Saccharomyces cerevisiae S288C: one gene and its partners. The protein of the gene in region 3 interacts with the protein of the main gene of each other region in a biochemical or structural test. Each region holds a gene or a part of one and is shown on either strand. Other genes may lie near its edges. The genes, in order: RFA2, RTT101 and RTT105.

Evidence for each region.
Region 1: the proteins of RTT105 (region 3) and RFA2 form a complex in vitro, tested with the Saccharomyces cerevisiae proteins (3 studies listed by BioGRID).
Region 2: the proteins of RTT105 (region 3) and RTT101 form a complex in vitro, tested with the Saccharomyces cerevisiae proteins (one study listed by BioGRID).

What each region holds. Positions count from the first base shown.
Region 1 is NC_001146.8:46,451-49,775, reverse strand, and holds RFA2 (Rfa2p), read right to left. Parts: upstream 1,490-3,325; coding exon 1,483-1,489; intron 1,375-1,482; coding exon 560-1,374; downstream 1-559. Other genes in the region: putative SCF ubiquitin ligase complex subunit SKP2, read left to right, coding at 1-379; tetratricopeptide repeat-containing protein EMW1, read left to right, coding at 1,754-3,325. UniProt on the Saccharomyces cerevisiae protein: Binds to single-stranded sequences participating in DNA replication in addition to those mediating transcriptional repression (URS1) and activation (CAR1). Stimulates the activity of a cognate strand exchange protein (SEP1).
Region 2 is NC_001142.9:348,998-353,869, forward strand, and holds RTT101 (cullin RTT101), read right to left. Parts: upstream 3,112-4,872; coding exon 583-3,111; downstream 1-582. Other genes in the region: YJL047C-A (uncharacterized protein), read right to left, coding at 47-181; AIM22 (putative lipoate--protein ligase), read left to right, coding at 3,389-4,618. UniProt on the Saccharomyces cerevisiae protein: Core component of multiple cullin-RING-based E3 ubiquitin-protein ligase complexes (CRLs), which mediate the ubiquitination of target proteins.
Region 3 is NC_001137.3:364,822-367,928, forward strand, and holds RTT105 (Rtt105p), read left to right. Parts: upstream 1-1,980; coding exon 1,981-2,607; downstream 2,608-3,107. Other genes in the region: Hsp70 family chaperone SSA4, read left to right, coding at 1-1,696; NUP157 (Nup157p), read right to left, coding at 3,017-3,107. UniProt on the Saccharomyces cerevisiae protein: Involved in regulation of Ty1 transposition. Inhibits Ty1 transposition at a post-transcriptional and pre-integrational stage of the Ty1 retrotransposition cycle.

The DNA of each region.
Region 1 (3,325 bases), on a different chromosome or scaffold from region 3:
TCACCACACTTACTATTGGAACAACTCTGTAAGGCGTTGCCTAAGAGATAGTTTAATCAAATTGAAGAACCGAACCATCGAATATAGAGATTTAGATGTGGAGGAGTTCTTACAAAATGTGACATTGGAAAATTTTTTCAATGATTTCCAAGATCCAGAGAATTTTAAAGATATTCCAAATATTAACCTCTGGTGTTTCCTGAGAAATTTGTCAAAATTCAAAGCTGTCAAAATAAGAATGCTGAGACATTTTTCATTATGTACACCTAGAACCAGATACGACTGGGAACTATTATTGAAGCCCGTACTGCGTGTAAATGTTCCCATTGAAGTCAGAGATAAGGACGGATTCGTTCTTTATTCTTACGGGCAAAAATAAATGACTTTTTGTAGTGGACTTTATATAGCATATTTATGCAACCAACTTAATATTCATGCATCTTACCCCTTCTTGGAACGGGTTCCATTTTCCACTCTATTTCCGGCAAATTTTGGTACTTACCTAGTAGAAATACACAAACGAATACTAAGAAATGCTAAAAAAATAATCTATATATTTTCATAGGGCAAAGAAGTTATTGTCATCAAAAGTTGGGTAGATAAAACCCTGGTCAGTCAAGGTCGTACAGCAGTTTCTGACGGTAGTTTCATCCAAATTCAAGGATTGCGAGATCAATGGAATGGGAACAGCGAATGAATTAGCGTCTTTGCCCTCACATTGCTTCTTACAAAATTCTAGAATTCTTTGTAACGGACTGGAGCCGGAAGATGTATCGTTATCATCCTTGACAAATAATGATTGCCCATTGTTGTTGGATGCACTCTCCAAAGGTTGTTTCATCATTCCACTGGCTATGGAATGACATTTGATGACTTCCAAGTGATGCGTCAACACTTCATTGAATGAATCTATGGGCTTAATCACCGCATACTGTATATTTTTCTTACCACCAAACTCTTTCAAAGCACCAAAAACTTTTACGTAACCGCCAATTTCAAATTGTTGGGCGACTTGCGAACCATAACCTTTACCAGAAGAGTCATCGTTACCGGCAGCCAAGTCATTTGCATCTTCGCTCCATTTTCTCACTTCTATTTGACCAGTTCCATCCTCAATAGTTAAAAAAATATTTGCAGTATGGTCTGTAATGTTTCTCACCACACCTACAAAACAAACGTGATGAAGTTCTTGGTTATGCGAAACGAAGGGGCCGTCCTGAATATCCTGTTTGGACTCTAGAATTTGTTTGATCGTCACAGGTGTCAAGGTGTTAACTCTAGTGTTAGTTTCCGACTCCCCACTACCTGGGCGGGACTCAGAGTTCTCAAAGCCACCGCCCGTTACTGATGAATATTCGTTATATGGTTGATAGGCTGTATTGGAATCCCATCCATTGTTAGTAATTTTAACATTCGCCAATAAAAATAAAAAAAATGATGCAGAAAAGAGCAAATCCTCCAATTCCTAGCACTAATACATACTTGCCATTATGTATATGCTTAAACTAGCCTGTTCTAGATAGTCGCTATCGATTTTGCCACATTACTTCCACCTTAAGTTGATATAATATTGCTTATTATAAAGGAAAGAACGCGTTTCCTAACGCGTTTCGTATATGGCGATAATTATCTAAGAAACTTCGCATCGTGAAAAAAAAGATGAAAATTGAAAATGGAAGCTCATCGAGGCCAAAGGAATTGCTAAAAAGAAGCTATCAGACCAGGCAAAAAGTAAACTAGTGGTTGCAAAATTATGGAGACGTTATTGCATGCAAAATTATTGCTGTCTGCAGAAGTAGAATCTCTGAAAAGTGGTTCTTTCGACCAGACATATGTGAAAAAGGCTGAACATATCATCAGTGGTGAATCATACCAGCTAGTACAGCAATTTGTGGACAAATTTAAGGGAAAAATTAGTATTTCGGGAGAAATATCCACATCTAGTGTTATTGCTGCTCTAAATGACTTTCTTAACGTTGAGGTTTTCAAAATGGGCCAAGAAAATGAGATGCTATTTTTGGCTATTGCCCTCTTACAGACCTTTATTCAAAATAACTACACCGGCCCAGCAGCTAGGTTGAAAGCAATCTCAGGTTTGTTTGGCAAAACTGGAATTGAAATAGGAGCAGTTAATACAGCCCTTTCCCGCTCATTAGCCATTATGGGCCAGCCTGCCTACGAATTTATGGATGATCCATTGTATTTGGTTTTATCACTATTATTACTTGAAAGGATAACCGGCCAAAAAAGCTTATTTGATGTTACCCCGGATCAAGAAATTCCGCTACCTATTATCTCTGCTGAGTCTACTCCTGGATTATTAGCTGTAGCTTATTGGTGGTGGGCAAGAGCTCTTTTGACGCAATTGTCACTGATTCCAGAACCTTCTGGGTTCCAAGCTAGTGTTGCATCTGCAATATATCAGTCTGCTGACCTTGCATATGCGATAACTAAGGAATTACCGGAGAGTATTCACGAAGATTTCAAAAGAGAACTTTGTGCAATGTACTATCTAGAGAATGTCAAATGTTCATTGGCCATCAACACAGAACATTTGTGCCTGCCATCCTTGACCAGAGCGAAAAAGATAACAAATTTTGAATTTGTAATGACGGGTGCACGCGCTACTAGAACTAAATATCAGCAAAAGGCTCATGCCGGTTTGATCATTCTTGCCAAATCCTTCACATTTCAAAATTTTGCTTTGAGAACGACATCTGCTACACCAGAAACATTTGCTTTAGAGTCCGATCTATTATTGGAGAAGCCTCATTTTGAGTCCATTGCTGATGAACCTCTAGACGAGCAAATTTATAGTAAAAGACAAAAGGTAGACCTAAATGAAGGTTATGAAGAAGATAAACTATTGCCATTGGCACTACGTCAAGAAAATATTCCAAAGTTGTTGCTGGATTTGAACCCTAACGATCAACCTACCCTATCTGATTACGACAACATCCAGTTGCTGTTACGTCTTTACACCATAAAGAACACAACTCCGGCCAAGGATCCTCTTGTGGAAGAAGAACTTACTGCTTTGCTTTCTAGAATATTATATCAAAACGGTGACAAAAATTGGTCTATTTTCGCCCGATCATTATGGGAAAGGTCAATTATTGAGACAACAAAGGCTAAAACTATTGAAAGAGGACTTTTACAAATGCAATCCCTCGTAGAAGAATTGGATTTGAAGATTAAGAGTAAATTGGTTCCAAGTTCAAGCGAAATCAATGTTGCTAGCAGGCTGTCATACATCCACCAGCTGCCGTTCATCCCTAGGTGGCAATTGGATGCCACCTTAGCTGAAAAATATATGTCGCTGGGT
Region 2 (4,872 bases), on a different chromosome or scaffold from region 3:
GAATAAAGTACGCGCTGGGTCCGTTACGATTCGTGCTGCAAGAGGTTTAAAATCGCTCCACAATGGTCTCGCCCCTCGGCCCTTCTCCAATTACAAGCATATTACTAATACAGTTTTCGTTTCTTTTGTAATGTTCAGATAGGAGCGAAAGACTAATTTCGATGGAAATTTTTATCTTCATTTCGATAGTATGTTCAATCAGTTGAACTATGCATCTTTGGTTATCATCATTAACAAATTGAAACGAAAAGCTATCCTGCCAAGAAGGCCGGATAGAGAGATTGAAAAAGATATATAAAGTGTCCTTGTCACACTCATACAACACCTGTTGTATGTCAGGCATACGGCAAATTGACTACAGTTTGCATTTGCACTAATGTCGTTTGCAGTGTAACTGTTGTATTGAACGTGGACAAGGACAAGAAAGATAGTTTTTATCTCTTGATGTTTTTTTATATGGAGGAGAAAGCGACGAAGTCGAAAAAAACGAAAGGAAATAAAATGCTGTCGGAAAAAAAGTTAGGGCTGGTACGGATTATAAACTATCTCAGTAGTTAGGTAATATATAAGATGGCACCAGTCTTAGTACTTGTAAGTTGCTGTTGATTCGTCCCTAGTTATGAATTTGTCTCGTAACAACTTGGCCAAGGCGTCTTTGAACTCACCAACACTAAAGCCTTTTATCTGCTGCTTTACCGTTTCAAATAAATGGTCGTAGTCTAGCCCATTCCTCTCGCTCTTAACGGATCTAGTTATGCATGCCTTTAGTAATTCTTGGGTCCATTGGGAATTACTTCCTTCGTGGTGTGCAGAACTGGTTCTTTCACCGCCTGTGTTGCTACTTTGGAGAGACGCGGTTCTCGGTAGAACCACACGTAGTTTCCCATTTTTCACTTTTTTCATATCAGGTTTGAAGCTCTCGTTGATACTGTATGTGTTGTCAATATCTCTTGTCAGAATTTTATAATTGCAGAAGGATTTTAAGACTAGCGCTAAGTCTTTGTACGCCAGTTTCGTTTGCTCTGATATAACTTGCAAGGTCAAATGATCGCTTTCGTTGAATAAAGTCAGCACACATGTTTGGAAAAGGGTCAATTCAAATATTAGGTTAGTTCCATCCTGTATGATATAAGGCGACTCCACTTCGCAGTGGTGCAAGTTCCACATCGGATATAGCTCTTTTTTGGAAGCATCTGAATCTTCCACTTTATTCTGCTCGTGATAATTACGGAGAAATTGGTTCCACGTATCATCCATCTCTTGAGGTAGGACAAAATTTTTCTTTACTTCGTTGGATTGCTGAAAAACTTTGGGAATTCTTTCTCTATCAAAGATAAGTGGGAAAAATGACTTGCTGTTGTTTTCATTGTATGTCTTCCCGAACTTCACAGCAGCCTCGATATTCTCATAAAACGACAAGAACGATGCATATTTGATTCTCAGATCTGCCATAACCTCTACCGGCTGAAAGAATTGCGATAAATAGGGTTGATATTGATCTCGGTATCGCATTTCATCCTCTTGTGAGACATTTGTTATGATTCTTTGTTTGAAAAGTTCCATGAGGCTGTCTTTGTAAACAGGTAATATATCCTTAATAAATGAGGAATTTTGATCACTTTGTAAGATCGTCTTTCTGAAAATTGATCTTTCGAAAAAATTAGGAAATGTGGGAAGGTTAACGAACTTCAGTCTCAATATAGGAAGATTTTCGTTGAGATACTTTATTTTCATATCTCTGGGTAGGTCTTTTTTAGTTGTTTTTATCTTTCTGACGATGATGAATAAATGTGACTCAAAATATTTGACATACTGTTCTATGGCTTTGCTGGTACTTCCAAGTAAATTACATAAATGGTACTCGATGGAATCGGAGTATATTTTGAGGTGATCTACATTAGCTAGCTGAACTACCTCATCAAATAGCCTTTCAGTATCATGATTGGATCCATATGCTGCCTTTAACTTTTCTGAAACGGCATCATCACAGAATTCCTTGAATTTTGACAGCATATTTTTTGCTTCAAAAGCATTTCTAAACATCAATAAGCTAAAGTGTGTCTCAGTTTTGAAATATCTCTCTTTTTCTTCATCATAAGTGTCCTTCCCAATTTCTATGTATTCGCTAATAGACTTCTTGTTCAACAGTAGATGGCTTATAAATAGGTCATTTGCATCGCTGACCCATTCAGGGGAAAATAAAGATGCTAATAATGCATTCCTCGTCAATAGTACCTTAAAATTCTTGAAAGTTTCCAGCCTCGGCCTTAAATTTGATTCCTCACAGTAATATTGTCTGAGAGTTTTCATATAAAAATCTTTGGGGCTCAAGCCCTCTATACTAAAATTGCAGTTAGACATTATACGGAGCATAGGAACTTCCTTCTCTAACATTGTATTCGTTATTGGAAACATATGAATATAGTGATGAATAGTAGCGCTTACAAGGGTGGAAAATTCCCTTCCAAAATGTGACTTCATACATTCGAAAAGTTTGGAATCATAATACTGAAATATCGTTAAGGTCTCAAATCCTAGTTCTTTTCTTATCATGGGATAATTTACCGGCACATACGATATAATAGGACCAACGGCACCCATTACGTACTGAAATAGCTTGTAAAAAGAGGTCCAATTTTTGGGTATAATTTCATAAGAATAGTCGCATCTGGTCAAAAAGCTAAGGACGTGCGCGTCAATTATTAACTTTGCCAATTCATCACAAAATTCTTGAAAACTCAGCACAATTTGGTGTTGATGTAGCAGCTGAAACTTCTTTTGCTTTTCGTCATTCCCATTAAATTCTGAGTTGTAAGGAATGTATGATTTCCTTTGCGTTAATTCACGGCAATTGTTCAACATCTTAGGCATTAGCTTTCTAAATTTAGCGGCCTTTTCTTTATTACACTCCAATTCTTTCACGTCAGTTTCAGTTATAGTTTCAGCTAAAGTAAGGTGAAAAAACTCGTGCAGCTCAGCAATCATCGTTCGATACCTGGGATTTCGCTCATCGTTAAATTTATTGTATAGTCCTAAAGCGTTGCTTGCACTCGTCTCTCTGCTTATAGACTCGTGGAATCCTTCTCTCTTGGAAACGCTCTCATTTATCATTGTTCCTGTGAACCCGTACGAGAATTTATACCAGTAAAAAAGATTGGTGGGTTTAATATCTTGAGGATTCCTTCAAAGTAGTCTTTTAGTGCAAAGATATCGATGATCTTCATTCGCATTGTTCATATTCATCATTACGCAAAGGATAGCTATGCGTTCCGCTTCGTCATACTTAATCAGGAATATTGAACATCCAAAAATCTCCGAGCTCACGTATGTAGAATTTTTGATGAATACAAAAGAAGAAAACACTAGACTTTTCTTTGATGTTTACATTATGTCTATGATGCTAAGTAATTGGGCACTCTCCCCTCGATATGTGGGACAGCGAAACCTCATACATTGCACCACTTTATTTCACACACTTACACGATGGGCAAAAGACGCAGACGATAAATATCATGATATAAACTCAATGTATGAAAACATGTTTACACCTTCAAATGATAACGTTTCAATTTTGCAGGATGAAGGTAAATCTGATTATGATACGACGAAGGCCAGCTCTATGGAAGAAGATATCAGTGCTTTTAATAAAGACTTGTACAATTTCTATAATATTGGATATGCCAAACAGATCATGTCTGCTTCACAATTGGAAAATATAGTAAAGGCAAAGGGCAGATTTGTTATACAAAGTTTATCCACCAGTCCTTATTATAATTTGGCCCTTGAAAACTATGTTTTCAAGAATACACCAAGAGCCAAAAGAGGTCCCGATAATTGCAGACTGTTATTTTACATCAATGATAGGTGCGCCGTTATAGGCAAAAACCAAAATCTGTGGCAGGAAGTAGATCTTGCTAAGCTGAAGAGTAAGAATTTCGAACTACTTAGAAGATTTTCTGGAGGTGGCACTGTACTGCATGATTTGGGCAATGTTAATTATTCATATTTAACATCAAGGGAGAAATTCGAAACAAAGTTTTTCAACAAAATGATAATTAAGTGGTTAAATTCATTGAATCCCGAACTAAGACTAGATTTGAATGAGAGAGGAGATATTATTCAGGACGGGTTTAAAATTAGTGGCAGTGCTTATAAAATTGCCGGTGGCAAAGCATACCATCATGCAACGATGTTGCTTAATGCGGATTTAGAACAGTTTAGCGGCTTATTAGAACCCTCACTACCGAACAATATGGAATGGGAGTCAAGTGGAGTTCATAGTGTAAAATCAAAAATCAAAAATGTTGGTATAATTACTCCTAATCAGTTCATTGCAGTGGTATCCGAGCGTTTTCAGAAAACATTCAAAGTTGACGGCGAAATACCTATATATTACTGTGACGAGTTTAAATCTATAAACGATGAGATTAAAGATGCTATGAACACCTTACAGAGCGAACAATGGAAATATTTCTCGGGGCCTAAATTTTCAGTGAAGATTAAAGATAAAGGCTTAACAATTAAAGTCGAAAAGGGCATGATTTATGATTGTGATAGAAATGATTTAATCGGCTTGGAATTCAAAGGATTTTTGGAGAATATTGACAGTTACACATAACGTTGATGAATATTTCAATTCACTTGTAAATAACGTAGGTAAATATCAAAATTAAAGTCTTTCACCGGAAACTGATTCAGCATATTTCAGCAGACGCGTCCTAGATTCACAGCAAACTTCAATATAAGCGATACATTAGGAGTGTTCGTACTTTAGATCTATAAGAACTATATTTTGTTACGATTCAGCCGTCTCTAAATGTGAACTAAATATTTATACTGTTATTTGAGAAACCGACAGATAGTACTTAATTT
Region 3 (3,107 bases):
TCCAGAAGTGACGAACGATGCTAAGCATTACCCATTCAAAGTGATTGACAAGGGAGGTAAACCGGTAGTGCAAGTGGAATATAAAGGCGAGACAAAGACATTTACTCCAGAAGAAATTTCCTCAATGATCTTGACAAAGATGAAGGAGACTGCTGAGAACTTTTTAGGAACAGAAGTGAAAGATGCTGTAGTAACGGTTCCAGCCTATTTCAACGATTCACAAAGGCAAGCAACAAAAGATGCCGGTACAATCGCGGGCTTGAACGTTCTTCGTATCATTAATGAACCTACAGCTGCCGCTATTGCGTATGGGCTGGACAAGAAATCGCAGAAGGAGCACAACGTCTTGATCTTTGATTTAGGTGGTGGTACTTTTGATGTCTCTCTGCTATCCATAGATGAAGGTGTCTTTGAGGTTAAGGCTACTGCTGGTGACACTCACTTGGGTGGTGAAGATTTCGATAGTAGGCTGGTTAACTTTCTAGCCGAGGAGTTCAAAAGAAAAAATAAAAAGGATCTAACAACTAACCAAAGGTCCCTAAGGAGGTTAAGGACCGCCGCTGAAAGGGCCAAGAGAACTCTGTCTTCGTCTGCTCAGACATCTATAGAAATAGATTCATTATTTGAGGGTATCGATTTCTATACTTCCATTACAAGGGCAAGATTTGAAGAATTATGTGCTGATTTGTTTAGATCTACATTGGAGCCAGTGGAAAAAGTTTTGGCTGATTCAAAATTAGATAAGTCACAAATTGATGAAATTGTACTTGTTGGTGGTTCAACAAGAATTCCAAAAGTACAAAAACTGGTTTCTGATTTTTTCAATGGTAAAGAACCAAACCGTTCGATTAACCCTGATGAGGCCGTCGCTTATGGTGCTGCCGTACAGGCTGCCATCTTAACGGGTGACCAGTCGTCGACGACCCAAGATTTACTGTTGCTGGATGTTGCACCATTATCTCTAGGTATTGAAACTGCAGGTGGTATTATGACAAAGTTGATCCCAAGAAATTCGACTATCCCAACAAAAAAATCGGAAGTGTTTTCCACCTACGCTGACAACCAACCTGGTGTGTTGATACAAGTTTTTGAGGGTGAAAGGACAAGGACAAAAGACAACAATCTACTGGGTAAATTTGAGTTGAGCGGTATTCCACCCGCTCCAAGAGGCGTACCACAAATTGAAGTTACATTTGATATCGATGCAAATGGTATTCTGAACGTATCTGCCGTTGAAAAAGGTACTGGTAAATCTAACAAGATTACAATTACTAACGATAAGGGAAGATTATCGAAGGAAGATATCGATAAAATGGTTGCTGAGGCAGAAAAGTTCAAGGCCGAAGATGAACAAGAAGCTCAACGTGTTCAAGCTAAGAATCAGCTAGAATCGTACGCGTTTACTTTGAAAAATTCTGTGAGCGAAAATAACTTCAAGGAGAAGGTGGGTGAAGAGGATGCCAGGAAATTGGAAGCCGCCGCCCAAGATGCTATAAATTGGTTAGATGCTTCGCAAGCGGCCTCCACCGAGGAATACAAGGAAAGGCAAAAGGAACTAGAAGGTGTTGCAAACCCCATTATGAGTAAATTTTACGGAGCTGCAGGTGGTGCCCCAGGAGCAGGCCCAGTTCCGGGTGCTGGAGCAGGCCCCACTGGAGCACCAGACAACGGCCCAACGGTTGAAGAGGTTGATTAGATAAATACAAAGATGCGATGAAGTAGCAGCATCGAATTTCTTAGTTTTCCCTCTTAACAACTTTTTATAAGTATATATATAAGATACACAATCAGTAATTAGCAAATGACTACTATTTGTACGTTCTCATCGTCATAAGCCAGAGTTTAATTAAGTGCCTCAACCGGGATGCGATTTCGCGTTCATATACAAAGCCGAAATGACAATAAGAAAGTCATCGCCAAACAACACGACTAATTGACCATTAAAAGGAACAAAATACAGTCAAAGAGTTTAGCTCGGAAATGTACAGCAATCATAATTTAAATTCGGATGACTGTTGCTTCGATTGGAATGAAGAGAAGGCCGCAGAACTACAGCGTACAGGTGTTTCTTTTGACCGGAGTTTAACACCTCAATCTTTAAGAACATCTACACGTAGACTATCAGAAGAGAACAAACAACAAAGTGGCACTATGCACATTGACACTTCCCCTTCTGTGGTTTCAGATATAATATCAAGTAGACGAGATCGTTCACAGGATTTTTTTGGGCCTCATTCTTCATCCCCTATTGCCCCTTCAGAACGACAACGAGCGGATCAGAGATCACGGTTGGAGTCCATGAGATTAACTAGACGTCGAGACAAAATGACCAAAGTACGCGGTGGCCTAGAAAAGATGGAAGAAATGATCATGCAAGGTGAACACCTTAGAGAAATGCAAAGGCTAAAGCAGGAAGCACAAAAGAACGCTCTACCCTCTGACATGGCTGAATATATGGAATGGCAAAACAACGAGGATTTGGAAGACGATGAGTTGCTTGCCTTTATTGAAAAACAGGAAACTTATAAAAATGAATTAGAACACTTTTTGAACAATGCTAATAAAAATGTTTATGAGAACAACTCGTATCCGAACTCTCATACGTGATGGCATCATTGCTATTACAGAAATAGCCCTAGCCTGTCATATTTAACTGAGCTGTTGAGTATGGGCATCTTTCCGCATGCGCTAACTACGGAGCTGGCTCTTCCCCTTCTATTAATCCTTCTGGCAGGAAGCGAAAGCGACTGATGTCGTTTCTACGTTTCTATGTATATTCTATCGCGTTTAAGTGTGTATATTTTGAGCTGCTCAAGTGAAGGGAACGTATTCAGAATAACTAGATTCTCTGCCATACGATCAACTAACTGTTTACCATATACAGTCTCAGTTCGCTACGGTTAGCGTACCGTAAAACAGCAGTTTACATTCACTATATAAAGGATGACGTAAGAATTTGCCTACGTATTAAAGAAAACTTCACAATCAAACTGCTAAAATATACAAATAATTCCGTTCATTTCAGGCCATGATGACGATCCTTCACATAATCTTGAACGGGATCGGTATTCGGATCATATTTCTCCAATTTTTTGATTTGTTCTGGC